Canis lupus familiaris: one gene and its partners. The main gene of each other region encodes a partner of the protein of the gene in region 4 in a complex. Links are inferred from orthologs where the notes say so. Each region holds a gene or a part of one and is shown on either strand. Other genes may lie near its edges.

The links.
Region 1: the proteins of F2 (region 4) and SERPIND1 are in contact, whole or in part, in a crystal structure (PDB 1JMO), measured with the Homo sapiens proteins. The link is inferred for Canis lupus familiaris from reciprocal best matches to the Homo sapiens genes F2 and SERPIND1. Residues at the interface, in NP_000497.1 of Homo sapiens: Lys384, Ser385, Pro386, Gln387, Leu389, Leu390, Cys391, His406, Cys407, Tyr410, Pro412, Trp413, Asp414, Lys415, Leu423, Arg425, Ser430, Thr432, Arg433, Tyr434, Lys440, Ile441, Ser442, Met443, Asn458, Leu459, Lys470, Trp511, Ala513, Asn514; in NP_000176.2 of Homo sapiens: Glu75, Asp76, Asp77, Asp78, Tyr79, Leu80, Leu82, Ile85, Phe86, Asp89, Asp91, Val305, Glu306, Met307, Thr308, His309, Gln327, Asp343, His361, Lys362, Arg388, Thr457, Val458, Gly459, Phe460, Met461, Pro462, Leu463, Ser464, Thr465.
Region 2: the proteins of F2 (region 4) and SERPINA5 are in contact, whole or in part, in a crystal structure (PDB 3B9F), measured with the Homo sapiens proteins. The link is inferred for Canis lupus familiaris from reciprocal best matches to the Homo sapiens genes F2 and SERPINA5. Residues at the interface, in NP_000497.1 of Homo sapiens: Arg383, Pro386, Glu388, Leu389, Leu390, Cys391, His406, Cys407, Tyr410, Pro412, Trp413, Asp414, Lys415, Trp455, Glu457, Asn458, Leu459, Asn506, Arg541, Ile542, Asp562, Ala563, Cys564, Glu565, Gly566, Asp567, Val588, Ser589, Trp590, Gly591; in NP_000615.3 of Homo sapiens: Gln241, Lys295, Lys296, Arg297, Thr368, Ile369, Phe370, Thr371, Phe372, Arg373, Ser374, Ala375, Arg376, Leu377, Asn378.
Region 3: the proteins of F2 (region 4) and F2R are in contact, whole or in part, in a crystal structure (PDB 3LU9), measured with the Homo sapiens proteins. The link is inferred for Canis lupus familiaris from reciprocal best matches to the Homo sapiens genes F2 and F2R. Residues at the interface, in NP_000497.1 of Homo sapiens: Phe382, Arg383, Pro386, Gln387, Glu388, Leu389, Leu390, Cys391, His406, Cys407, Tyr410, Trp413, Lys415, Leu423, Arg425, Arg431, Thr432, Arg433, Tyr434, Ile441, Met443, Glu457, Asn458, Leu459, Asn506, Thr510, Lys517, Gly518, Gln519, Arg541; in NP_001983.2 of Homo sapiens: Ala33, Thr34, Asn35, Thr37, Leu38, Asp39, Pro40, Arg41, Ser42, Phe43, Leu44, Leu45, Arg46, Asn47, Pro48, Asp50, Lys51, Tyr52, Glu53, Pro54, Phe55, Trp56.
Region 5: the proteins of F2 (region 4) and F2RL2 are in contact, whole or in part, in a crystal structure (PDB 2PUX), measured with the Mus musculus proteins. The link is inferred for Canis lupus familiaris from reciprocal best matches to the Homo sapiens genes F2 and F2RL2. Residues at the interface, in NP_034298.1 of Mus musculus: Phe379, Gln384, Glu385, Leu386, Leu420, Arg422, Arg428, Thr429, Arg430, Tyr431, Arg433, Lys437, Ile438, Ser439, Met440, Lys467, Pro470; in NP_034300.3 of Mus musculus: Thr46, Phe47, Glu48, Glu49, Phe50, Pro51, Asp54, Ile55, Glu56.
Region 6: the proteins of F2 (region 4) and F2RL3 are in contact, whole or in part, in a crystal structure (PDB 2PV9), measured with the Mus musculus proteins. The link is inferred for Canis lupus familiaris from reciprocal best matches to the Homo sapiens genes F2 and F2RL3. Residues at the interface, in NP_034298.1 of Mus musculus: Glu385, Leu386, Leu387, Cys388, His403, Tyr407, Trp410, Asp411, Arg428, Arg453, Glu454, Asn455, Leu456, Trp501, Gly502, Asn503, Trp508, Thr510, Gln516, Arg538, Ile539, Asp559, Ala560, Cys561, Glu562, Gly563, Asp564, Val585, Ser586, Trp587; in NP_032001.2 of Mus musculus: Asp54, Lys55, Pro56, Asn57, Pro58, Arg59, Gly60, Tyr61, Pro62, Gly63, Lys64, Cys66, Asn68, Asp69, Ser70.

What each region holds. Positions count from the first base shown.
Region 1 is NC_049247.1:30,854,149-30,857,370, forward strand, and holds the end of SERPIND1 (heparin cofactor 2), read right to left. Parts: intron 2,173-3,222; coding exon 2,028-2,172; intron 1,345-2,027; coding exon 1,153-1,344; 3' UTR 501-1,152; downstream 1-500. UniProt on the Homo sapiens protein: Thrombin inhibitor activated by the glycosaminoglycans, heparin or dermatan sulfate. In the presence of the latter, HC-II becomes the predominant thrombin inhibitor in place of antithrombin III (AT-III).
Region 2 is NC_049229.1:63,891,198-63,895,188, reverse strand, and holds the start of SERPINA5 (plasma serine protease inhibitor), read right to left. Parts: upstream 2,801-3,991; 5' UTR 2,659-2,800; intron 2,530-2,658; exon of another isoform or gene 2,415-2,529; intron 1-2,414. UniProt on the Homo sapiens protein: Heparin-dependent serine protease inhibitor acting in body fluids and secretions. Inactivates serine proteases by binding irreversibly to their serine activation site. Involved in the regulation of intravascular and extravascular proteolytic activities.
Region 3 is NC_049224.1:30,090,546-30,094,774, reverse strand, and holds the start of F2R (proteinase-activated receptor 1), read left to right. Parts: upstream 1-1,429; 5' UTR 1,430-1,472; coding exon 1,473-1,560; intron 1,561-4,229. UniProt on the Homo sapiens protein: High affinity receptor that binds the activated thrombin, leading to calcium release from intracellular stores.
Region 4 is NC_049239.1:43,219,303-43,222,802, forward strand, and holds part of F2 (prothrombin), read right to left. Parts: intron 3,432-3,500; coding exon 3,326-3,431; intron 3,226-3,325; coding exon 3,089-3,225; intron 1,672-3,088; coding exon 1,354-1,671; intron 1,048-1,353; coding exon 922-1,047; intron 846-921; coding exon 719-845; intron 286-718; coding exon 118-285; intron 1-117. UniProt on the Homo sapiens protein: Thrombin, which cleaves bonds after Arg and Lys, converts fibrinogen to fibrin and activates factors V, VII, VIII, XIII, and, in complex with thrombomodulin, protein C. Functions in blood homeostasis, inflammation and wound healing.
Region 5 is NC_049224.1:30,171,636-30,175,775, forward strand, and holds the start of F2RL2 (proteinase-activated receptor 3), read left to right. Parts: upstream 1-1,340; 5' UTR 1,341-1,540; coding exon 1,541-1,604; intron 1,605-4,140. UniProt on the Homo sapiens protein: Receptor for activated thrombin coupled to G proteins that stimulate phosphoinositide hydrolysis.
Region 6 is NC_049241.1:46,146,494-46,150,593, forward strand, and holds F2RL3 (proteinase-activated receptor 4), read right to left. Parts: upstream 2,779-4,100; 5' UTR 2,388-2,778; coding exon 2,285-2,387; intron 1,992-2,284; coding exon 922-1,991; 3' UTR 501-921; downstream 1-500. UniProt on the Homo sapiens protein: Receptor for activated thrombin or trypsin coupled to G proteins that stimulate phosphoinositide hydrolysis. May play a role in platelets activation.

The DNA of each region.
Region 1 (3,222 bases), on a different chromosome or scaffold from region 4:
AGCCTCTCTTACAGGGTTCTGGGGGTCATAGATAGCTGCACGCACAGCACTTCTGATGCTCTCCCTGTCACTGCCCAGAGTCCCCAGCACTGCAGAGGCACCAGCACGCTTGAATTCTGAGCAGCCTTTTTAGATTCCACTGGTCTTACCCAAGTAGCAGAGACATTTAAATGTCACCTGCTTTCTCAAACCAGACCCACTATGGGAGCTTGTCTGAGGGTCTCCCTGTGTCCGGGGATGAAAGCCATAGCATTTGCCCCCACAAGGACTGGCATTTCAGGAATTTCCATGAAGCTTCATCCACAGCACCTTTGCCCCCACGATTTAGCAACACTCACCATGTCCTGATCCTGAGGAGTATGCCTGCTGTGTAGCACATGAGTCACCATGAAGAATCAAGTTGTTTTTTGTCAACCTCTGTCACTCCTGGGGATGTCAGCTATTTTGAATTTGGTCTTTCTTAGTTACTTGAACCTCAAAAAAGAGAATTATAACAGACACACAGTAAAAGTGGCGATATTTATTTATCTCTAAGGTGGAAAGCATGGCCACGTGTACACACTGTCCTCTGGGCAGCAGTGAGGTGACAGCAGAAGTATAGATGACATTTAACATCAACTTGGAAAGTTGGGCCTTGAGAGAATTAAGCCCTAACACCTAGGGCACTCCTTGAATGTCACAAGGTTGTTCCTGTCCTGGGCACCATCTTTGGGAGAGGTGAGAGATTAGTCCTGCAGCTCATTTCTGTGTTCTGTGTTCAGATGAAGAGCGCCGGCAATTTGAGTAAAAGAGCCGAAAGTTCAAGGATTAGGTACTGCAGAGGAAGGAGGTGCACAGGCAGGCCCTCCACAGGTTTGCACTGAGGAAGTGGGAGTAAGCCAGTCTCTATGTTGCTGACAGCCTCTAGGTAACAGCTGACGTATCACAGGTACGTTCACTTCTACGAACTGCTGGCATTGTTCACTGTGCTGAACTGATTCCGGTGAGCTTCTCAGTCATTTGTAAATTTCTCCTCTCCAATGGGCCTCGATTTCAGAATGGTAGCATAAACCACAAAAGCCATGATGCCAAAACATCTCCGTTCTCATTGTTAGAATGGAACCAGAATTACAGAGTGCCCCCAAAACACTTCAAATGCCCAGACCTCCACCTTTAAGACTTGGTGGGGTTGGCAACTCTCCCCATGAAGAGCAGACAGCTGGTGCGGTGCTCATAGACGAGGAAGAGGAAGGGGCGGTCGACAGTGAACCGGACTTGGGTGGACAGCGGCATGAACCCCACTGTGGTCACGGCGGCAGCTTGGGTGCCCTCCTCATTCACCGTGATGGTACCTTGGTGCTTGAACTGTTTCAAAATGGAAAGGAAGTTGTCAGATCCCATCAGTGAGCACACAGAAGGATAGATGATATAGTGAGTCTCCTCTCATTTAGGGTAGAAACACCACATAACAAGGCACAAACCACAGCTGGCCAAAATGACCCTTGAAGATCTCTGCCAGATGTGGTAATTGTGCTCAGAGGCTGTGTCATATAAATAGTATGTATCTCTATAAACTCCAACATCATAGTCTCTCATGGTGGTGGCCCATAGTATGAGTAATCTGCCAGCAAGACAGCAGCTGCACGCCCCGTCTCCCCTGTACTACGCTCTAGGTGCACTGCTAGAAGGATGGGGTCGGGTTTTTTGGACTGGTGTTCTCTCTTGTCTTGTAGTGTGTCTATTTTGTCAAGTTCAGTATGCAGGTCATGCATTTTTGCTGCATGTTAAAGGATCTTTCATGATTCAGCTGAGTGTCGCTATTTCAGGGGTTGGAACACATGCCTCCTCTCTTTCTGCAGTCAGTGAGAATGTGATTCATTCCCATGCTGCTCCCTAAAACAGACTACCCTACCCACACAGTATCTGGCAGACTGAGGGAGAGCAGATCCAGCACCCCTGACTTCTGAAGTCAGGACAGACAGGAGGGAGGCTTTGCTGGGGGCAGACCCTGGGCACAGGTGCGGAGGGTGGACAGAGGGAGAGGTTACCAGATCAATGGTGATCCTGTGGTCTGAGATTCCGGTCATATTGCTTTCTTTGTCAAACAGTGCTGTGACCCCCATTGACTTCAGGGCCTCTACCAGGTTGTAGTTCTTCTCCAGTTTGAATTTAGGCAGAAGTACCTCTCGAGTTCTGGGCAGAGAAGAAAAGGGTGCCCAGTTTTATTGAACTACAAGTTCCAAAAGAATCCTGTTTTTCCCTCAAATGCCCTCACCTCCTTTCCGCCACCAACCCCAGGTTGCTTTTACCACAGAATAAAATTTATATCACAGTACTATCAGTTGAGTTTTGGGGAAAGACCATCCATTATGATTCCAGTTTCTTAAAATGTAGGTATGGTTAGTGCTATCCAGTCATTTCCTCCATACTGTAGGGTTCATGTTCCGCCTTACGGGTCAGCAGCAGAACTGTTACTGGTTTATGGTTTGAAAGTATCTAAAACAATTCTCTTGATTCCAGGAATTTCTTGTTAAGTAATCAGTTGAATATCTGGTCAATATACAGAAAAAGGAACCCTTCACATGCCAGACAGTGTTGCATGTTCTCTGTCCTTGCTTCAACACATTCAGTCTTTACGGATAAATAGCAACTACAGTGCCCATGAGGCCAAATCCAGCACACAAAGGGGATAAAGAGACATCAGACACAGTCCCTCTTCTCAAGAGCTTGCTTTCCTTTTGGCAAGCCAGGACTCAAGTGTGTGAAGCAGCAAAATGGTAAAGGCGGTATGGTAACGTCTGAACAACTAGAACAGATCTCACTACTGGAGCCATCCAGGAGGGGGTGGGAAGGAGCAGGTATTCCTGTGGCCTAGAAAGCTGCCCACAGCCTGAGACATGGCGTGAGCAAAGCCTGGAGGACGCTTGAGCTGGACTGCCAAGGGGCACTGTTCAGGCTAGGAGGAAAGAGGAGGAGGGGCAGAGTAGGCCAGATGGGAGGCCTAGAAGCTGGGCTGTGTCCTGTGGGCAGGTGGCCCACAGAGAGCTTCGGAGCAGAAGAGCCGGGGCGGAAGAGTGTCTTAGGAATGCTGTTTGGAGACCAGTGCAGGGTGGCTAAAGGAGTGGAATGGGCAGGCTGGTTAAGCCTTCTTAGCTCAGGGTGGGATGTCATAGGCGATGAGGTTAGGAAAAAGAGGGGACATTTTTAAGGAAAAATTGACAGGGCCTGATGACTCATCCCCTC
Region 2 (3,991 bases), on a different chromosome or scaffold from region 4:
CTTGAGCCAGTTCCTTCCTCTCTGCAGGCCTCAGCTTGTTCATAAACAATTCTCCCCACCACTGCCCCTTTGCCCCCCACCAAGCACCAGAGGTCTGGTGGGCCAGAGCCACTTTCTCAGCACCCACCGAGTCTCCCCAGATACCGGGGTCTCCTTGGAGGCGGCCCCAGCCTCATGCCCTCTCCCCTGGGCTGCAGGTTTGGGACCTAGAACTCTCCACTTGGGCTCACTCTCTCTCTCTTACTAAAACCAGTGTTTGAGGACGCCTGGGTGGCTCAGTGGTTGAGCCCCTGCCTTCAGCTCAGGGTGTGATCCTGGGGTCCTGAGATCAACTCTTGCATCAGGCTCAGGCTCCCCGCAGGGAGCCTGCTTCCCCCTCTGCCCGTGTCTCTGCCTCTCTCTGTGTCTCTCGTGAATAAACAAATAAAATCTTAAAAAAAAAGAAACCCAAAACAGTGTTCATTAACAACCTCTTCAATACTCTACAAATATTACTGCATCTACCCATCAAAGGAAGAAACATCATTGAGACCATTTTGCGGATGGGTAAACTGAGGCTGAGCAAAATGGTATATAGCTTGTCTCAGCCAGTGAGTGATGGAGCCGGGATTAAAATCCAGATTCCTGTGACTGGTGTACACACTGCCTCGTTCTTCCTTTCACGGTTCTGAGACAGATACCTTGTTCCCTCTCCCCTGTAGCTAGGTCCTCGTGAGTATCCCCAGGTCTCGCCCAAGCTCATTTATGCTCCTCCACAGCAACACGGAGCTGGTATCTTCACCATCATTGTACAGAGGAGGAAATAGGGGGTCCGAGAGAGTGGAGGCATGAGGGTGCTGGTTTTAGGCTTCCCAGTTTCAAACCCGGACTGTGCCAGTCATCATATTACTAGGCCTCCGGCGGAAAGACACAGCTTTGACAGAGTTTTGTGCCAACTGTGAGCTGGGGCGAGTCTGCTCCAGGCCCTGGGAGCCTGGCCCCTGGGAGATGGGCTCTCAATCAGGAGAGTGGAGCCTGGCCTCGTTGGCCCTCTCCTGGGCCCCCCGATGCCAGTGTTTCTGCAGAGAGGTCCCCGCATGTCCGAGGGAGAAGAGCAGATGGATCCAGCGCATCTGGCACCCCAGGCCAGAGTGACTTGAGCCGGCCGGGCTGGGCAGGGCAGGGCCTGGGCAGGCGCTGAGGAAGTCCTCCCACTAATCCCCACCATCCATGGACTCCAAAACTGCTGCACTTATTCCGAATGCTAGGTCCCAAAGTCCTACCAGGTCAACTTGGAGCTCAGCTGTGGGAGGTGTGTGCCTAAGGAGACCTGTCTGCTCCTCCTCGCTGTTGTCATGCCTTGCCCCTGCCCGGCCCCTCCCCGTGCATTGTTATTCTCTAGGATGGCCCCTGAGCCCCCACAGTGATGGAAGCCCGGGTCCCACGTGCATTTGCAGGTGCCTTCCTGCCTCCCGGCCTCTGTTCCCAACTAGAGCACGAGCTCCTAGCAGAGAGCAACCGAAAAGCAACCGAAAAGGCTCTTGCTGTGAGGTTTGCAGCCAAGGGCTGGTGCTCAGACCCCTTTTTGGAAGAATGAATGAATGAATGAATGAATGAATGAATGAAGTCCTTCTCTATGGCTCAGAGGCTTTAGAACCTGTGCTGGACGCGAAGCCCTCCTGCACCCAGGGCTAACTTGCCAGGTGGCTTGGAACAACTCTCCTCTGCTATTCGGCTTCCATTTCCCTTTTCCTTCCTAAAAACTCATTTCTTGAGATACGAGTGACATACAAAAAGCCCTGGGCCATGTACACCCGTGAAACTACCACCAGCACAAACGAACCCATCGCCTCCCGGCCCCCTCTGCCCACCGCCTTATCCTTCATGCTTCTTGATCCGTGACCAAGGACGCTGGGCAGCAACTGCCCCTCTCCTTAGAAAAACCGAAAAGTATACTTATTTTATGTCCAAGTTTCGCCTATTTAACAAATCGCCACACAGCATCCGGAGCTCGAGCAGCCCCTGAGACCCCTGTAGGTGGCAGCTCCAGCCGGGGCAGCCCTGACTCAGGGAAACAGAGCTGTTCCGTCGTTTCTCCTGATTTCTAAAGGTCCGAGATGGCAGGTGCCGAAAGCCAGACAGAGGAGCACCGCCTGTGGACCAGACTCTGTCCCCTCTACCTTGTCTCGGGGTTTCTCCACCTCGGAGCTGTTCTTTGTCATGGGGGCTCTCCTGTGCCTTGTCAGCGATTTAGGGGCATCCCTGACCTCTACCCACTAGACGCCAGTGCAACTCTGTCCCCAGCTGTGCCCACTACAAATGTCTCCAGATGTTGCCAGATGTGCCGCAGGGATCAAAATCCCTCCTGGGCGAGAGCTACCACATACCGAATCTTCACAGCCACTGTGGGGAAGGTGTAATAATTCGCATCTTACCTAAAAGGACACCAAGGTGCTGCCAATGTAGTGTGTGCCCAAGTTCACAGTTCTGGGGCAGAGGGTGGACTCTGCGGCCTCTGAGGCCCTGGCTCTCTCCCCACCCCCGCGGGAAGTTTTCCTGGTCACTCTGGCGCTGCCCCAAAGCTTCGAAGCCTCTCAAATCCCAGAACCCCAGTATCCTATCAAGCCCCATGCCCTCAAGCCCGTGGGCCCCCTGTCCGTCTTCAATGCCTGTACTTACTCTGTCTCACAGTCAAGCGTGCACACAGTGGAGGTCCCAGTCCCTCACGCTCAGCGAAAACCAGAAGCTGTTGGAAGGAGCATTTGTCACTGACCTGGGCAGAGCCCTGACTCCGCCCCCGCCCCCTTGGCCCTGCCCCGTCCTGTCCTGGAGGGCTTCTTGCCAACGGGTAGGCTGCAGGCACAGCCACCTGAGCTCTGACCTGGGGCCACCCACTCACCAGTCTTACACAGACCCCCGTTGGCCTCCACAGCACGGGGTCCCCAGGGAGGCCACCTGCTGCTGGCATTCCAGACACAGAGAAAGGGACACCCTCTGGCAAGCCTTCCTTTCTCCAGGCTGATTCCTCTGCTCCCACAGCCACTTGGCTCTACATCTGGGGCAGGATCGTGCGAGCCCGAGGTCTCCACACCCCCCAACACTACCGGATTCCCAGGCAGAGCTTACAGGATTCCTTCAATGGTGAGAGTCTAGAGGAAGTCAGAGGGACTGTCACCATGGCTGGATGCAGGGACCATTGGATCCAGTCCCCTTGCTGTGCAAATAACTGAATTGAGGCTCAGAAAGATGAGCGGGACATCAAATTAGGGACAGAATGGTGCCTGGTGCCCAGGTCACCAACTTCAAGGTCAAGGCTTTTTCCTTAGGAAAGGACTGTATCTGGGTTTTCAGTAGGCTCAGCTGGAGCTGAACTGCCCTTTTTGACCTTGACCTTGGGGCTCTGGAACTCAGCCCCGCCATTTCAAGAGCATTTCCAAGATACTGGTGCAGGGTGCTGGCTCAACCCTTGCTTCATTCCCAAGGTCCCCGGGCCCTGGTGTCAGGTGTCCTGCGTGTGGCCAAGACCCAGGGGTGATGTGGGTGAGCTGGGGTGGGGAATTGGCAGAGGAGACAGGGGGCCAGACGTTGCCCAGGGGAAGCGATCTTGGTGTTCAGCAAACAGGGTCCCTCTACTGCCTCTGAGACCAGGAGGAGACTGAGGCCCACCTCAGTCCACAGGTTAACACCATCACTACTGGGCATTGAGCACTTACTTTGTGCTCGCTGCCTCCCAGATGTGCTGGAAGGTGGGTACTAGTATCTCCATCGGATCAGTGAGAAGACAGAAGCAGAGAGAGGTTAGGTAATCAGCCCAAAGGCACACAGCTAATAAGGGGGAGCGTTAGCAAGGGGAAAGCTAGGTCTCTTCCGTCCATTGTCCCATGTGACATAGCAAGAGTCCTTTAAAGAACCTAGAGATTCCTAAACTGTGTTCTGTAGGGTGGAAATCGTATTACATGCCTGTGCTGGGGTGGATAACATGTCCCCCAAAGATAGCCACATCCTAATACCC
Region 3 (4,229 bases), on a different chromosome or scaffold from region 4:
GGGCGGGGCCGCGCAGGTGCTGCGGGGGGAGCGGGGGGAGCAGAGGTGGGGGGCCCGAGGGTGGGGAGCAGGGGTGCGTGGAGCGAGGGTAGGGGCGAGGGAGGGGCCGCGCAGGTGCTGCGGGGGGGCGGGGGGAGCAGAGGTGAGGGGGCTGAGAGCGGGGAGCAGGGGGGCGTGGAGCGAGGGGCGGGGACGGGGCCGCGCAGGTGCTGCGGGGGGGGGCGGGGGGAGCAGAGGTGGGGGGCCGAGGGTGGGAGCAGGGGTGCGTGGAGCGAGGGTAGGGGCGAGGGAGGGGCCGCGCGGGGGGGGGGGCGGGGGGAGCAGAGGTGGGGGCGCCCAGGGCGGGGAGCAGGGGTGCGTGGAGCGAGGGTAGGGGCGGGGGAGGGGCCGCGGGGGGGTGGGGGGGAGCAGAGGTGGGGGGGCCGGGGGCGGGGGGAGCAGAGGTGGGGGGGGCCGAGGGCGGGGAGCAGGGGGTGCGTGGAGCGAGGGTAGGGGCGGGGGAGGGGCCGCGCAGGTGCTGCGGGAGGTGGGTGGGGAGAAGGGGGGAGGCCGGGGGACGGCGGTCCGGGCGGGGAGCCGAGGGCGGCCGCCGTGGGAGGGGCCGCGAAGGCCGCGCAGGTGCTGCGGGGGGCGGGGCGGGGGCGGCCGCCGCGGGAGGGGCGGGGCCGGGGGGGCGCCCTCGGGATCCCCGCCCGCTGCGGAGCAGCGCGACCCCCGGGGGCAAAGCTTCACCGACTAGCGGAGACCTCCGCGTTCGGGCGGCTCCTCCTCCCGGCCCTGCTCCCTGGAGGGCGCAGCCTGTCCGCTCTCGCTACAGTGAAAAGAACACGAGTCACTTCGAAGCTTCCCGCTGGCCTCCCCCGGCCTGGGCGGCGGGCGGGAAGGGCCGGGGGCGCCTGGGTGCGCGGAGCCCCGCCACGGAGGCCGTGCTCCCGGGGCCGCAGAGGTGCCGCGAGCGGCCGCCGAAGCCCGTCCGAGGCCCCGAGCTCCGCCGGCCACGGGCGCCGGGAGGGAAACGGTCGCGTTGGGATTCTCCCGCCCGGCAGGGGCGAGGGGGCGGGGGCGGGGGCGGGGGCGGGGGCGCGCCGGGTGGGAGCGGGGCGGGGGGCGCAGACGGGGGACAGGGGGCGTGGAGCAGGGGCGAGGGGGCGGGGGGCGCGCCGGGAGGGGGCGGGGCGCGGGGGCGGGGCGGCGGCGGGGCTCGGGGTCCGTCCCGGCTCCGGCCGCGGGGCTCCGCGCGCCCCGCCCCCGCCCCCGCCCCCGCGCCCCGCCCCGCCCCGCCCCGCCCCGCCCCGCCGCCCGCGTCCTCGGGGAGCCGCCGCCGCCCGGCCGCCCGCAGAGTCGCCGCCCGCCGCCCGCCGAGCGTGCCCGGCCCCGCGTGGAGCGCCCCGCGGCCCGCAGTGTGCGGCGGTCGGAGCCCGCGGCCGCAGGGAGGGCGCGCAGCCGAGCCGAGGGGCGCCGGCGCCGGGACAATGGGGCCGGGGAGGCTGCTGCTGGTCGCCGCGGGACTCGGTCTGTGCGGCCCCCTGCTGTCCGCGCGCGTCCGCGGCCGCCAGCCGGGTGAGAGCCGGGCCCCGCGGGGGGGGCGGGGGGCGCCCTGCCTGGGCCGCGGGAGCTGCCGTCCGGGGCGCCCTTGCTCCGCGGCCGCGCGGCCCTGCGCCTCCGGGCCCTCGTGCCAGGACCGCCCCGGGGAGACCGCGGCCCACGCCGCTCCGCCGCTCCTGGCGCGTTCGATACACAGCGGAGAGGCGTCCCCGATAAAGTTTTCTTTTGTTGGAAAATGGCTTTTCTTGCACGTTTTACACGTGGGGAGAGCAAAGGGCACCGGCGGCGGCAGCCGGGGGGGCGGGGAGGCCGGGCGGGGAGCCCGCAGCAGCCCCGGCCTCCCGAGCGCGCCGAGGCCGGGGGCGTCCCCAGGGGCGGCCGCCTCGCGCCCTGGGGTCTCACTGCCGCCCTTCGGGCCGCTGCCAGGGGGGCTGCCCACCCCGACACGAGTCCCACCCACTGCGTGTCTCCAAGTGTCTGGCTACCTGACCAAGTACATGTATTTTCCAAATCCCCCCCCCCCCCGCAAAAAAAAGCAGGACGGAGTTGTTTTTAACTGGTAAAAAAAAAAAGTTGTTTTTAACGGGTAACTGGTTTTTAACAGAACCCAAGGGAAAACACTTTTCAATGTCTTTATAGTGATAGTACTTTTTCTTATTGGTGACAGATTGTGTGTCCTTTACGCCGTTTTCACACTGGAACTAGAGTAGTTGCATTAAGAATAAGAGGTGACAAAGGTAGAGTTTTCTCTCCATCAGACTGAGTTCTGCTCTGGTGCTTTTGGGCAAAGCACAAGCTCCACGCAGGAGCCGGCTCTGCAGCAGCCCCGGGGGCTGCGGAGAACATCCGCACGGTCTCCTGGTGTCTGAAGACGCCTGCAGAGTCCTGGGAACTGTACGGTGTTATGTGCTCTGTGATGTGACTTTGTACTTTTATTTGGGGACAAGCTCTTGAGAATACAAATTGTTGTATGAGATTTGGATGGTGAGGTCAGGAATAAGTTTATACCGGCACAGATCCCCTGAAGTCACCCTTCCTCAAGGCCCCCAAGACCTTGGCGCCTGTGGGGGAGTACGGTGAAGTCCACAGTGTTTGTGCTCAGCTTTCTTGCTTGTGAACTGAGAAGGGGCACGCTAAGCTGGACATGCTAGCGTAGACGGATAACCGAACAGAGATTGGCTAGCTTATCTACACTGGATTCTGGAAGCACTTTGGGAGGGAAAGAAGAAAGGAGGGTGAGAGAAAAAAAAAGAGCCGGAGCTGAGTCCTCTTCGGGGGCAGGCCCTGGGCCCGGAGGCCCGGAGGCATTTGCACTCGGATCACCTGAGAGTCTCCCCCTCTCAGAAAACACTGCTAAGGCTGGCGGGCATCCCCCTGAAACCAGGACTCAGAGACAGTATAGCAAAGCTCCAGATGGAGGAGGGGGTCCTGTGTGCAGGAAATAAGTGTCTCTAGAGTTGAAATCACTCATAAGATCAACTAAAAATAGGTCTGCTTTGTCTTATCACGGCCCACTGGCAGTTCTAAAGGGTATCTGCCCTCAGCACTTTACGTGATGGGAGGAAGCCTAAGACCCCAGGCCCTGGAAAGCTCTCCAGGCTGGCCCTGCCCACCAGTTTCAGCTTTCCTGAAGCTCTTGGGACTTTTGTACCCGCTCGTTTTGGCATTTGCTGCACTGTCACTATGTGGGTATCTCATCTCCCCGGCCAAGATTATAGGCTTCCATTTATGCCCAGGAAGTCTAGAACCAGGGTCTGCTCCGCAAATGTTTATTGAGAAATTCGTAAGTTCATTACCCAATTTACTTCCCTTTCTCTTGGGTAATTTAAGTGAGATCAAAGAGGGCCAGCATCCAAGAGGTGACGCTTATCAATTTTATAAGGATCTGCATGAAGGATGGAAGGGTTCAAGAATCGCTGATACTGGGATCCCTGGGTGGCGCAGCGGTTTAGCGCCTGCCTTTGGCCCAGGGCGTGATCCTGGAGACCCGGGATCGAGTCCCACGTCGGGCTCCCGGGGCATGGAGCCTGCTCCTCCCTCTGCCTGTGTCTCTGCCTCTCTCTCTCTCTGTGTGACTATCATAAATTAAAAAAAAAAAAAAAAAGAATCGCTGATACTGTGGCAGAGGGGATTGGCTGGGAGAAGCCACGTGCTGCACGGCTGCCCACAGGCTCAAGCCCATTTACTCAGCATAGAAGGAGGTGCCCCTCCCCTTGCAGGATGGGTCCCAAGCCTCTACGCAGCCGCCTCTGTTATGTAACCTGTGAGATTACCCATGTTCCACCCAGCCCTACCCTCCAGTCCCTCCTCCTGGGAGCTAGGCTTTCTCTGGCCTCTGCCCCCTGCCATGCCCTCTGGCCAAAATGCCCTCCCTTACGCTCCACATGTTCACATTTAATTAAAAACAGCCACTCTAGGACACCTGGGTGGCTCAGTGGTTGAGCATTGGCCTTCGGCTCAGGTTGGGATCCTGGGGTCCCGGGATCAAGTCCCGCATCAGGCTTCCCGCATGGAGCCTGATTCTCCCTCTGCCCGTGTCTCTGCCCCTCTCTCTGTCTCTCATGAATAAATAAATAAAATCCCAGCCACTCTATATCAAGCACCTACTACATCAGCATCCTTTTTAGGTATTTTACGTATACTGTCTTGTTTATTCCTCTCAACAATCTTTTGAGTATGTGGTA
Region 4 (3,500 bases):
TCCACTGTGGGAAATAAACAGACATATCCCACATTCCCAGGAACCACCAGAGGCCCCCACGGTCACGCTGGAGGACTCTGACCCCTGCCAGACATCCAGTGGCCTCCCATCCTGTACCTGGTACGGGAGTGCTTGCCAATGCGCACCAGAAGGTCATTCTCTGTGAAGTTTTTGTCCCAAGGTGGGTACAGGAGACAGTGGGCAGCAGTGAGAACCCAGCGGTCACTTATGAGGCTGGCCCCACACAGCAGCTCCTGGGGACTCTTCCGGAAAAGCATCACCTGCCTGCGACGGGGGAGGGAGGGAAGGGGAAGCCTTAGGAGCTGGGGAGCTGCCCCTCTACCTGTCCTAAAGTAGAAAGTCCCAGTTTTCAGAACTGGACAGAGGTGCCTACTGGGCCCAGACCCCAGCTTGGCCTGGTTGCCCTTGCGGACTGGGACCTTCACACCACACCAAGGGGCTGCCTCCTGCTTTCTGCACCCCTCCCCAGCTTCTGCAGGTCCAGAATTTGCACAGCCCGGCATAGCTCTGGGGCCAGAGAAAGTAACTCAAGTAGGCAGACCCCTTAAGCTCTCTGGGCCTCAGCCTCGCTCTCTGCATGTGAGAAGCAATACCCCCAATCTCAGAGGGGTGCCAGCTGGCATCACCTGGGAAGCCCAGGCCTGTGAGGGAAGGGGCAGCCCCAGAGGGGCCCCTCCGGCCCGCCCGGACTACGCACCAGGGCGCGAGGCCAATCTCCGCGTCCCAACCCTCCACGATGCGCCCGTCGATGTAGGACTCCAGAAGCTCCCCTTCCGTTTTGTCCTTCACCGACCTCTTCTCGAACAAAGGTCGCAGCCCACAGTCTGCACAGCAAACCGGGCGTGAGGAGCCGAGCTGGGCTCTGCGCCCCTGCAGCCCCCGCTGCCGCCGCTGCCTCACCTGCCTCCCCGGCGCCGAAGGTCTTTTCGTTGAAGAAGGGCTGGAACTCCTCTGCGGTGGTGCGTCCCTCGATGGCCGTGTCCTGGTCCTCGGCCAGCCCGTCGCCCACCTCCTCCACGGGCTCCTCTGCGGGGAGCAGGCACCACTGGGGCCAGGCCAGCCTGCGCGCGGCCCTCGGGCACCCCCCGCCCAAGCCTCCGCGCGGCCTTGGAGGGCCTTGGGCGAGGCCCGGAGCGCAGCGCACGGCGTCCTGGGGACCTCGGCCTGGGGCCTGAGCGAGTTCAGCTGCGCGTGGGGCCAAGCGCACCGGGCCGCGGGGAGACGGAGCTACGGCGGACCGCGCCCCCCAGCGGCGGGGCAGTCCTGCACCCGGGAGGCGCTGCTCGGCCCCGCCCCCTGCCCCGCCCCCGCCCCGCCCCCGCCCCGCCTCACCGCAGTAGTCCAGGTCGCAGTACTCAAAGCCACCTGGCTCCTCCGACACGTAACACCACGCGCCCTCCTCGTCCCCGTCCGGGTTGCGGCAGAAGTTCTCCACCAGCGGCACCGCAGGGTTGAAGTCCTGGTCCTTGCTCAGGGCCTTGGCCTGTCTGCTGGCCCAGGCCAGGCAGGGGGACCCATGTGTGGTCACCGCCAGGCGACCCTGGTAGTACCGGCCACGCTCAGGGATGCAGTGCTCTGATGGAGGTGACAGATTCACCGTGGGGCCTCCGGAGCGTGGGGTCAGCGGCACAGTGACGCCTCCCTGCTGGCCTGGTGGGTGGGGAGGCAGGGGAGCAGAGTGGGTGGGGTGGGACAACACGCGGCCAGGGGGTCAGGGTTTGACTTCCTGCCCTGCCACCTTCTTCCTATGTGGCCTCAGGTAACTTGACCTCTCTGAACCTCGCTTTGCTTGCCTATAAAAGGGGTGACTGATACCACTTTTGTAGGGTTGTTGAGAGACTTAAACAAAATACATGCTGTGTCTGGTGCATTATGAGACAGATGGCAACTCGGTTTCATCTCCTGGGCTATCTGTGATATATTGGTAGTGACTGCCTGGAGTTTTTAAAGAAAGAGTCTATTTTTATAGTGGACAGCAGGAAAAGTAGCTGGGATGACGAAGGATGGCTTCATGGGCAGTAGGGCAATTTCAGCAGCCCTGCGAAGTATTGGGGGTGGGCAGGCTTGGTATATGGTAGCTGCTTTTGTTACCATGACTGGTAACTTGCTGTAATATAGTCCCAGGACCAAGCCTTAGGTCCAAGAGGGATGCATGAAGGACAAAGATACACCAACCTATATTTGGTAGTTTGATTGCTGGCACTAATTCTTTACCCTTGCCCAGATCCACATCCTCTGCCCTGTGATTTTATAGGTAAAGGTACACATCTGCAGCTGACGTTGGCCTTGATCATGCCCAATGGAACATGGGCAGAACTGCCTTGACACACATCATGTGTTTCTGAATATTTTTTTTATTTTTATTATTTTACCTCTGCCATAACTTTGGGAGATGGTGCCTTTCAGCCTCAGCCCTGGAATGAGTAATGTGGAGCAAACCGGGACCCAACCCACACAAGGATCCAAGCTCAGCTGGACCCATTGTTTGAAGCAGGACCAGCAGCCAAGCCCAGCCTACATTGTGGCCAGCACAGACATAGGCAGGCACAGCTGACATAAGCACAGCCACCCAAGCCAACCCTCAGACACATAAGAAATAAATGCTTATTGGTATATGCCTCTGAGCTTTTGCAGTTGTTTGTGATTTTGTGGGATCTGCAGCATTATTGTGGCTAAAGCTAACTGACACATCAGGCAAAAGGATAATGACAGAATCATGCTGGGCTGGACCATGTGAGGCTTGCTCTGTGGTGCTCAGAAAAGGGCACACAGGCTGAAATGGTTAGGGAAGGCTTCCTGGAGGGAAGAAGGCCTCAAGCAGGAAAGAAAGCATATTTGGAATGAGCTATAGTCTGGGTCACCAGGACTAGAGGCAAAGACTGGGGAGGCAGGGGAGGCCAGCTGTCTCTGCTTGACTTCACTGACCCACGGGCCCAAATGTGTTTGTTGTAAGTGACTAAGCCATGTTTGAAGGTAGCCAGGGTCTAGCTTCCTGTCCCAGGCTACCAGGCCCTATGGAGAGACCCCTGAGCCCTGGCCATGGACTGCCCAGCCTTCCCCAGCTCACCGCAGAGGGAGATGCTACACTCCTCTCGCCGCACGGTGGGGTCTATAGTATAGCACCAGGGCCCAGTGGTGCTGCCATCCGGGTTACGGCAGAAATTCTCCTGCAGGTCGGCCCCAGGGTGGGTGGTAGAGTTGATTCTGGAATAGGAAATTGCTCAGCAGAAGCTGTACCCCCCATCCAGTGTGTCCCAGCCCCATATTCTCAGCCCACTGGCCAACAGGCCAGCCCATCACTCACTCAGGCTTATGTGGGTAGCGACTCCTCCATAACTGGCACTCGATGCCTGACCGGGTGAAGCTCACGTTCCCTCGGTAATTCATACCCAGACCTTCAGCACAGCTACCTGCAGAGACCCCAGCCCCGGTCTCTTACCATCTGTCGCCTCTCTCACTTAACAAAGCTCTGTCTGTCC
Region 5 (4,140 bases), on a different chromosome or scaffold from region 4:
TTCCACAATAAAATAGCTTTCAATCTCAGCTTCTGTTATCATATATTATGTAGCTAAAATATTAGATGCTGAATTTTGTTTAAAAGATTTTATTTATTTATTTATTTATTCATTCATTCATTCATTCATTCATTCATGAGAGACACACAGAGAGGCAGAGACATATGCAGAGGGACAAGCAGGCTCTCTCTCTCTGAGATGCCTGATGCAGGACTTGATTCCAGGACCCCAGGATCATGACCTGAGTGAGCCAAAGGCAGACGCTCAACCACTGAGCCACCCGAGTGCTTTTAGACACTGAGTTTTTATTGTAAAACTCTTGGTGTGATGAAATTTAATCAAGTGTGAAAAGTTTACACAGATCAACTCCTTCCCGGCTTATCCGACAGCCTGTAAGTCTCACGTGAAACCTGTATTTTCTGATTCTTGCTACATTTTATATGCAAAATGCTGTTGGATTGTTTGGCTTAGGGTTTAACCTTAAGTTGTGTTAATTACAGAAAAATCTGTTACAATGCAGTTCTTTTTTTTTTCTTTTTACTACATATTAAATCATATCCTCCAGGAAATAACTACTCATAAAAGCTAATATATTGTGTAACAACGTGATCGTACTAAATACTACTGAGTTGTACATTTAATAATGATTAAGATAGTAAATTGTATGTTACACATATTTTGCCACAATTAAAAAAAAGCTCATTATAGACCTCACCAACAACCATGGAATAAACAGAGTCCTCTGCATTCAATGCTGTATCATGATTTCAGTTTAACCAAGTATTATTTAACACCGCCTCCACCCACCACCCCTCTCCCCTTGCCTGCTGCCACCCTTGCCTGATCCTATAGAGTTAACCAACAGCTCAGAGTGTGCTGAGTTATGGCAAAACAAAACACCATAGAACCAAATCTGGCCAAGGAGTAATGACAAATTCAGACCGATGTGACACTGATGGAGAATTTTCAAAGTAATCAAGCTCTTAAATTTCACTTCCTAAAAAATGCTTGCTTTTCATGATTCATTTTATTTATAATTATGTAATGAGTTTAAGCATTAAGATTCGAAAGAGCTGGAAGGATAAGGAAAGGATAATTTCTGACAGCTTCATTACTGAGAAGAAATTACCCCCTGGAACAGTGTTTTTTAAATGCATAAAAATGAGATAGGTGACAGAGTCAAAACTAACTGCTACTCAACATCCATCATCAGCTTACTTCTGTAAAGGACTGTCTATTACCTTCCAGCATCTACTCAGAACAGATTATTAGAGGTGGGTAAGAGTTAAAGGATTTTCTCCAGGGATAAAGTAATGTGCTCAGAGGCTCAGCCTGAGTCATGCGCACTGCAACGAGTCCTGTCACACCCTTTCCCTCCAGAGGACCCGGGCAAGCTTCCCAGCCTGCAGAGCACAGGACAGCACATTTTAAGGAGAGAACGAGATTTCCATTTGCTGTTAACACAAGAAACTGATGTGCAGCCGGGCTCCCTAGTTTATACATTTAATAACGTTTGGGAAACGGGATTCAGGTCACCAAGATGAAAGCCCTCATCTTTGTAGCTGCTGGACTGATGCTTCTGTCACCCATTTTTTGTCAAAGCGGTAAGCTCTTTTCTCATGGGGTGTTGGGGGTGCTGGTTTGTGTAACGAGAATGAACTGCATCCAATTTTCTTTGCGTGTCATGCAATCTGCAACCCAAAAGGCACACTTTAATGTTTGTTATTAAAAGGTAGCATCAGGGATGCCTGGGTGGCTTAGCAGTTGAGCATCTGTCTTTGGCTCAGGGCGTGATCCCGGAGCCCCGGGATCGAGTCCCACATCCGGCTCCCTACAGGGAACCTGCTTCTCCCTCTGCCTGAGTCTCTGCCTCTGTGTCTCTCATGAATAAATAAATAAAACCTTAAAAAGAAAAGGTAGAATCATGGAAGTGGATAGCTACGGCTTGTTTACTCTATTCACATTTTATCAAAGACTAGTCCTTTCTGCTTAGATTTAAAAATTTGTGGCATGGTCAAGATTTTAGATCTCTAGAATTAAGAATCAAATTTCTTTGTGAGAAGATTCTGATTTTCTAAGAATTTCCTCTGATTCAGCAAAGATAGTACCTTTTCCAGATATTTAAAAAAATCCTATGTTTATACATTCTCTTGAAGCACAAATGGGAGAAACATAAATATTCCCAGAAAGAATGAGTGGTCTTTCTTTAGAATAAGTAAGGCTGACAAGTCAATATTTCTTTAATGACATACCTTTTTTTTTTTTTTGACTTTGTTTTATCATGGAGTCTTCCCTACATTCACAAGATCTTTTAGTTTTAGAAATGATATCTCCCAAATATTTTTATTCAACTCTTGTTTCCTCTTCTGCTCAACACAATGTCAGCCTCCTGCTTACTCCAAAACAAACCAGTTTGTCATAGATCTACCCATAATTCTTTTACTATCAGGTTGTTTTCCAGCCAATGTTGTTAGGAGCGGGAGAACTGGGGTGAGAGAAGATGATGAAGTAGAATAAATAAAAATGTAACAAAACCAAACCTCCATAAAGAATGTTGCTTCAATCACCAAGGTGGTTGTAGGGAAGCGCTAAGAAAACCCACTCAGCGCAAGAGCACATGTGAGATTCGTGAATAGGATAACTGACTGTTCCTTCTGGCTGTAAATGAACCCAAAGACAGCAGAAAAGGAAAAGAAAAGTTTGTGAAGGGGGTTCCTGCAAGATGTTGGTGGCGGTTCCTGCAAGACATTGGTGGGGGTTTGTAGAGGTGAACAGGGGGCATTTAAAGGTGACAAAGGAATGGGCAGTGCATGTGCTTTCTTCTGTAGGGTGGGAGAAATGTGAGCGAAGAACCCATCATCTAGAGGGTGAAGTCTGGTCCTCTGTCTAAGGCCTTATCCCAAGTTAAAAACATTTCAGAAACATTATGCCAAATGTAAGCCTGTATTAAGAAATCAAAGAAATTTTTTAAAAAACTATGTAAAATTTAACAGTGAGGACTATTAAGTCACACTACTCTCTAAGGAATAAAAGACTTGTTCACACTGAACCAGATCTGGAATTCTCATGGAAAAAAGAATCAAGACTTTTTCACAGAGTCACTGTTTACCATGCTTTTAGGCACCATGTCTTGCTCAACCACAGGAATTTTCTGAAAACTAACAAACACTTCGTATCAACAACTCTCTTATCAGATCTTGAAAGGAAATATCTCGTACACCATGTTCCCCAGCCACTGTCTTCCAGCTTTGTGCCTACTTCCCAAGGCACTTCTCTATGGGTGATGTCAAATTTAAGCATTTTCCAAAATGCAAACCCGAGAAAGGATTCGTGTGGCTGAACTCAAGTGACATGCCACATACTTTCAAAGTTCACAGGCACAGAAGAACACTATTCAGATTTTTTTTTTCTTCAGTCTATCTTCCCTTAAATGACACCTGAGCAATTCCCTGTCCCTACTTGTTCAGGCAACACTGTTTTATACACTGAATTCTGTTTGTGCAATCTCAGGGTTATGAGGAAGGCTTCAATTTCACCTGGGGGCGAACTGCTAGAGATTAAAGCAGGAAGAGAAACTGGCTTTGAATGAGAACCACCTTACTCATCACTAACCCCAAGTATTCAACATGTAAGAATTCAGAGGTCATACGAAAAGACCTAACTGGCAGAGCAATGGCATTTTTAAATTCGTATGACATTTGTATTCAGCATCAAGATCTATCTCAGAAATTTCAGAGGATCTACTTTCTGTACATATCAAAGACTAATTTATGGAAGAATTATTTAATGAGAATTAGGTTTGAGTATTAAGGTCTATTGTGCGCTTTTGAAACTGCTCTTGTATTAGGATTATTAAAATTAGCCTGCCAACCAATGCCCACCATTTATAGGACATAGAATAATGTTATGTCTCTATTCCTTTTTGTTCCATTTCCAATTTTTTTCTTTAGTTTTTTAAATTGAAGTATAGTTGACTTTGGTTTCATTGGTTTCAAGTGAACAACACAGAGATTCAACAGTCCTACACATTGTATGGTGTGATTATCATTTGTCACCCATACAACGTTATGATGTTATTTGACCACGTTCTCTATGTCCATCTTCTCATTTTTCTTCCTTTGTCTCCTCTACTCATGTCCT
Region 6 (4,100 bases), on a different chromosome or scaffold from region 4:
GCTGTAGCCCTCACCCCCAGGCCTTACCCGTCCACCCTCCAGATGCCCACCCACCTGGTCCTGGGGTGGTGGGAGACATTAACATCAAGAAAAGGATTCAGATCTCAGGTTGACGGGAAGAGGTGCCATCCTGCAGCCAGGGTGACAGCAAAAGACAATCCTGTAGATCCCCATGCCAGGCCGCACCAGGTTTTGGGGAGCAGATGAGGGCCTCCTCAGTGACTGTTCAGGAGATGCCCCAAACCCGGGAGCCTGTCCCGGAGCTAGGCCCTGGGCTTTGGGGAAGGAGGACTGCCGTCTAGCCTCCTGGCCACCTGGGCCATGACGGGGTGGGCAGCCGGAGCAGCCTCCCGGGTGGGGGTCCTGCAGCAGCTCTAGAGTGGCCTCGGCAACCCCTCTGCCCCACCTGGGACACGAGGGAGCTGGCCGGACCTGGGAATCTGCATTTAGCCCATATGTTAGTTTCTTGGCACTGCTGTAGCCAAATACCACAGAACAGGTGACTTAAGACAACAGAAATTTATTTCTCTGACAGTTCTGGAGGCCGGAAGCTTGAGATCAAGGCGTGGGCGGGGTTGGCATCTTCCGGGGGCTCTGAGGGAGCGAGGCTTGGGCGGTCGGTTTCTGGCGGCCTCTGGCCGGCGTCGTGTTCTCTGGCTGTGGCTGCGTCACCCCAATGTCCGCCTTCGTGGTCAGATGGCCTCCTTCCCGGTGTGTATGTGCGTCCTCTCCTTATAAGGACACTGGTCACAGCGGATTTAGGCTCTCCCCTCCTCCGGTGTGACCCAATTTCAACAGTACCTGCAAAGCCCCTATTTCACAGCAGCTCACCTTCAGGGCGTCCCTGTAGACAGGAACTGGGAGGGGACCCCGCTCGGCCCGTGCAACCCCCTCTCCGTCTGCCCCGCCTCCCGGGGCCCGTCACACCAGCGAGGTGGAGCGGGTGCCGGTGCCCTGGGTGGCCCCGTCCCTGGAGGCCGCCGAGGCGCCCGGGGCCCAGCAGAGCAGCCTCTCCCGCACCTTGTCCCTGAACTCCGCGGACACGTAGTAGTAGATGAAGGGATCCACGCAGCTGTTGAGGGTGCTGAGCGCCAGGCTGGGCACGTAGGCCGCGTACAGGTCCCCCCAGGCGTCCGGGCCCGGGTCCGAGTAGTGCAGCAGCAGCAGCGTGTTGCTGGGGACGAAGAAGGCCAGGGCCGAGGCGAGCACCAGCGCCGTGAGCCCCAGCGCGTGGCCGTAGCGCGGGCCGCCGGCCGCCAGCGCGCACAGCGCGGCCGCGTAGCTCAGCAGCACGACGAGCAGCGGCACGAAGCAGCCGAGCACGGCCAGGCACAGGAAGGCGGGTCGCCAGTAGGAGGCCTGGGCGCCCGCGGGCAGCGCGTCGTGGCACAGCACGCGGGGCGGCCGCGCCAGCCGGAAGGTCTGCTGCTGCAGCGCCAGGGGCAGCGCCAGGGCGGCGGCCGCCAGCCAGGCCAGCGCGCAGAGCCCGGCGGCCAGGCGCCAGCCGCGCAGCGTGAGGGCTCGCAGCGGGTGCACCACGCCGAGGTAGCGGTCCAGGCTGATGGCCGCCAGCAGCAGCACCGAGCCGTACATGTGCCCGTAGAGCGCCGCCGTGGTGGCGCGGCAGGCCGCCTCGCCGAAGGGCCAGTGGCGGTCCTGCAGGTGGTAGGCGATGCGCAGCGGCAGCGTCAAGGCCAGCAGCAGGTCGGCGGCCGCCAGGTTCATGAGCAGCGTGGTGGAGGGCAGCCGCGGCACCCGCGTGGCCAGCACCCAGAGCGCCAGGCCGTTGGCCGGCAGCCCCACCAGCAGCGCCAGCCCGTACACGGCGGGCACCAGCCTCGTGGCCACCCAGCCCAGCAGCAGGGCGCGGGAGCTTTCTGGGATCTCCAAGATCTCGCTGTTGTTAGCCCAGGGCTGGCCGGGGAAGCTGCGCAGGTGGGGCGAGTGAGGGGTCCCCTCCTGGGGCCCGCTCAGGGGCCCCACTGTGCCATCTGGGGGAAAGGGGATCGAGGCGTTGAGAGTCCGGTTGTCACCCCCGTTTCCCCCACCACCACCACCCCGCCGGTCCCTCCCACTGCGGGATGCTGCTCCCTGGGGGCTCCGGTCCAGGCTCCAGCTCTCAGGAGCCCCCAGCCTGGTGAGTCAGAGCTGGACAGACACCCCCAGCCCTGGCACCGGGCTGGGTTGGAGGACTGCCCCCTCCCAGCCAGTTCCCTGTCTCCCACTCATCAACTCTAGGCCTCCCTCCAGCCCCCAGACAAGGCCCAAGGGCATGCACCATTACCTCCCCCTGTGCTCCCCATCTCGTCGTAGGTGAGGGGGCTCTGGCTGTCGTCTTCCAGGTTGAACCCCATAACCAGAGGCCAGAGCAGCACCAAGGCCCACATGCTGCCAAGGCTGCTCTGGGCTGGGGCCGGCTGACCTAGGGCTTCCTGCCTGGCTGGACCCCCCACCCCCAGCTTCCTGAGTGCCAGTGGAGGATTGGACAGGCCCCAGTGAGATAAACCAGTCCCTGCCCCCACAAGCCTGTGACAGGCCCATGGTGTGGCCTGAGGAAGCCTGGTGGCCAGAGTCACTTGGTTTCAAAAACAGGGTCCCAGTGCTGGGCCGGCAAGATGGGGGAGGAAATTCCCCACCCTCAGCCTCTGTCTAGCCCAGAAAGCCTCTCCCGGCTGAGTGGCTGCTTCCTGCTACCCGGTCATGTGTGCAGCCCCCGTTCCCAGGACAGCCCTGCAGGTCACGTCCCCAGGCAAGGGCTCTGCACCCTTCCTGCAGCCCCCCCCCACCCCCGCCCATCCCTGTCTGTGGCTGGCTGGACCAGAGCCCTGCCTCCAAGTCAGAGGTCAGAGCAGGTGAGTGGTCCTCCCCCCTCCCCAGACACCCGGGTCCTCTGTGGGGGCTGCCCCGCCTTATTGCGACTATCCTGGGGAGCAGAGAGGAGCCCAGCTTCGGCCTCCTTCTGGGTCTTGAGGCCCCTTCTGCTCCCCTCCTGGCTCCATCCGCAGCTTGGGGCTCCCGGGAACGGTCAAGGCCAGAACTCAGCCTGAGAGTGGTGGCCAGGCCAGCCCGGGAGAGAGGGCCCCTGAGCCACCCACCCTCCTCTCGCCCCTCCTCGTCCCTGCACTCAGATGCGGGCCCACCTTGCAGGTGAAAAAATTCAGAGGGGCTCGCGGGGGAGGGGGAGGGTCCTCCTCTCTTCTGCACACAGTCCCCCCTGATGCCCCTCCAGGGAGAGGCCTCCGCCGTGCTCCGCTCCACGCTGGGGGGTCTCGACCTGTGTGGTCAGGCTGCTGCTGCTGCTGGGGTGGGGGGGGTGTCTGAGAGCAGGAGAACCCCGAGGCAGCGGTAGGGGGGCAAGGAAGAAGAAATGAACCAGGGGTGGGAGAAGGGCAGCGATGCGGCCTGTCCTGGTGCTGGGAACCCTAATCTAGCCACACACTCGAGGTCACGGGGACCAGCCAGGAAGTGACCGAGCAGTCCCGGACGGCGTCGGCGCAGCTGAGGGTGAGATGCCAAGGTCCCGGCCCCCAGCCCAGGGTGGGGGACCCAGGCCCAGACAGTTCCGGCGGGGACAGGGTCTTAGCCGGGAGTCTCCCGTTTCCGGACTGTTTCCACCGGCACCGGTGACAAATTCAGCCACCTCCTGACCGAGGTCCCTCTGAGCTCACAGGGAAACCCAGATGGGGACCCCCTGCTGCCCTCCAGGAGCAGGACGGGGAACCTGTGCAGGGGCGGCTGGGGGGCTGGCGGCTGGGCGACTCGGGGGAGGCTGGTTGGACTCAGGAGTCTGGGGAGGGATGGGGAGGCGGGTGGGGGGGGGCACGCGGGCAGGAAGTCACTTGTTGGGGGGGCGGGTATTCTCCGCAGGGCGGAGGCGGGGTTGTGTATCCCCAGCCGCATCACAGAAACAACCCTGTGCCAGCAGGAGGGGGCAGCCCCCCCCCAGGATGTGTGGGGCGCCCTGCCGCGCCAGGGGCTTTCTGGAGGATGCTGAGGGCAGCCGCCTTTGGGGAGAGGGACTTGGGTGCCTACCGTTTGTGTGTTTTTGTGTACTGTTGGGATTTTTCTGTGTCATCTGTCACTATCCGTAAAAACCTCAC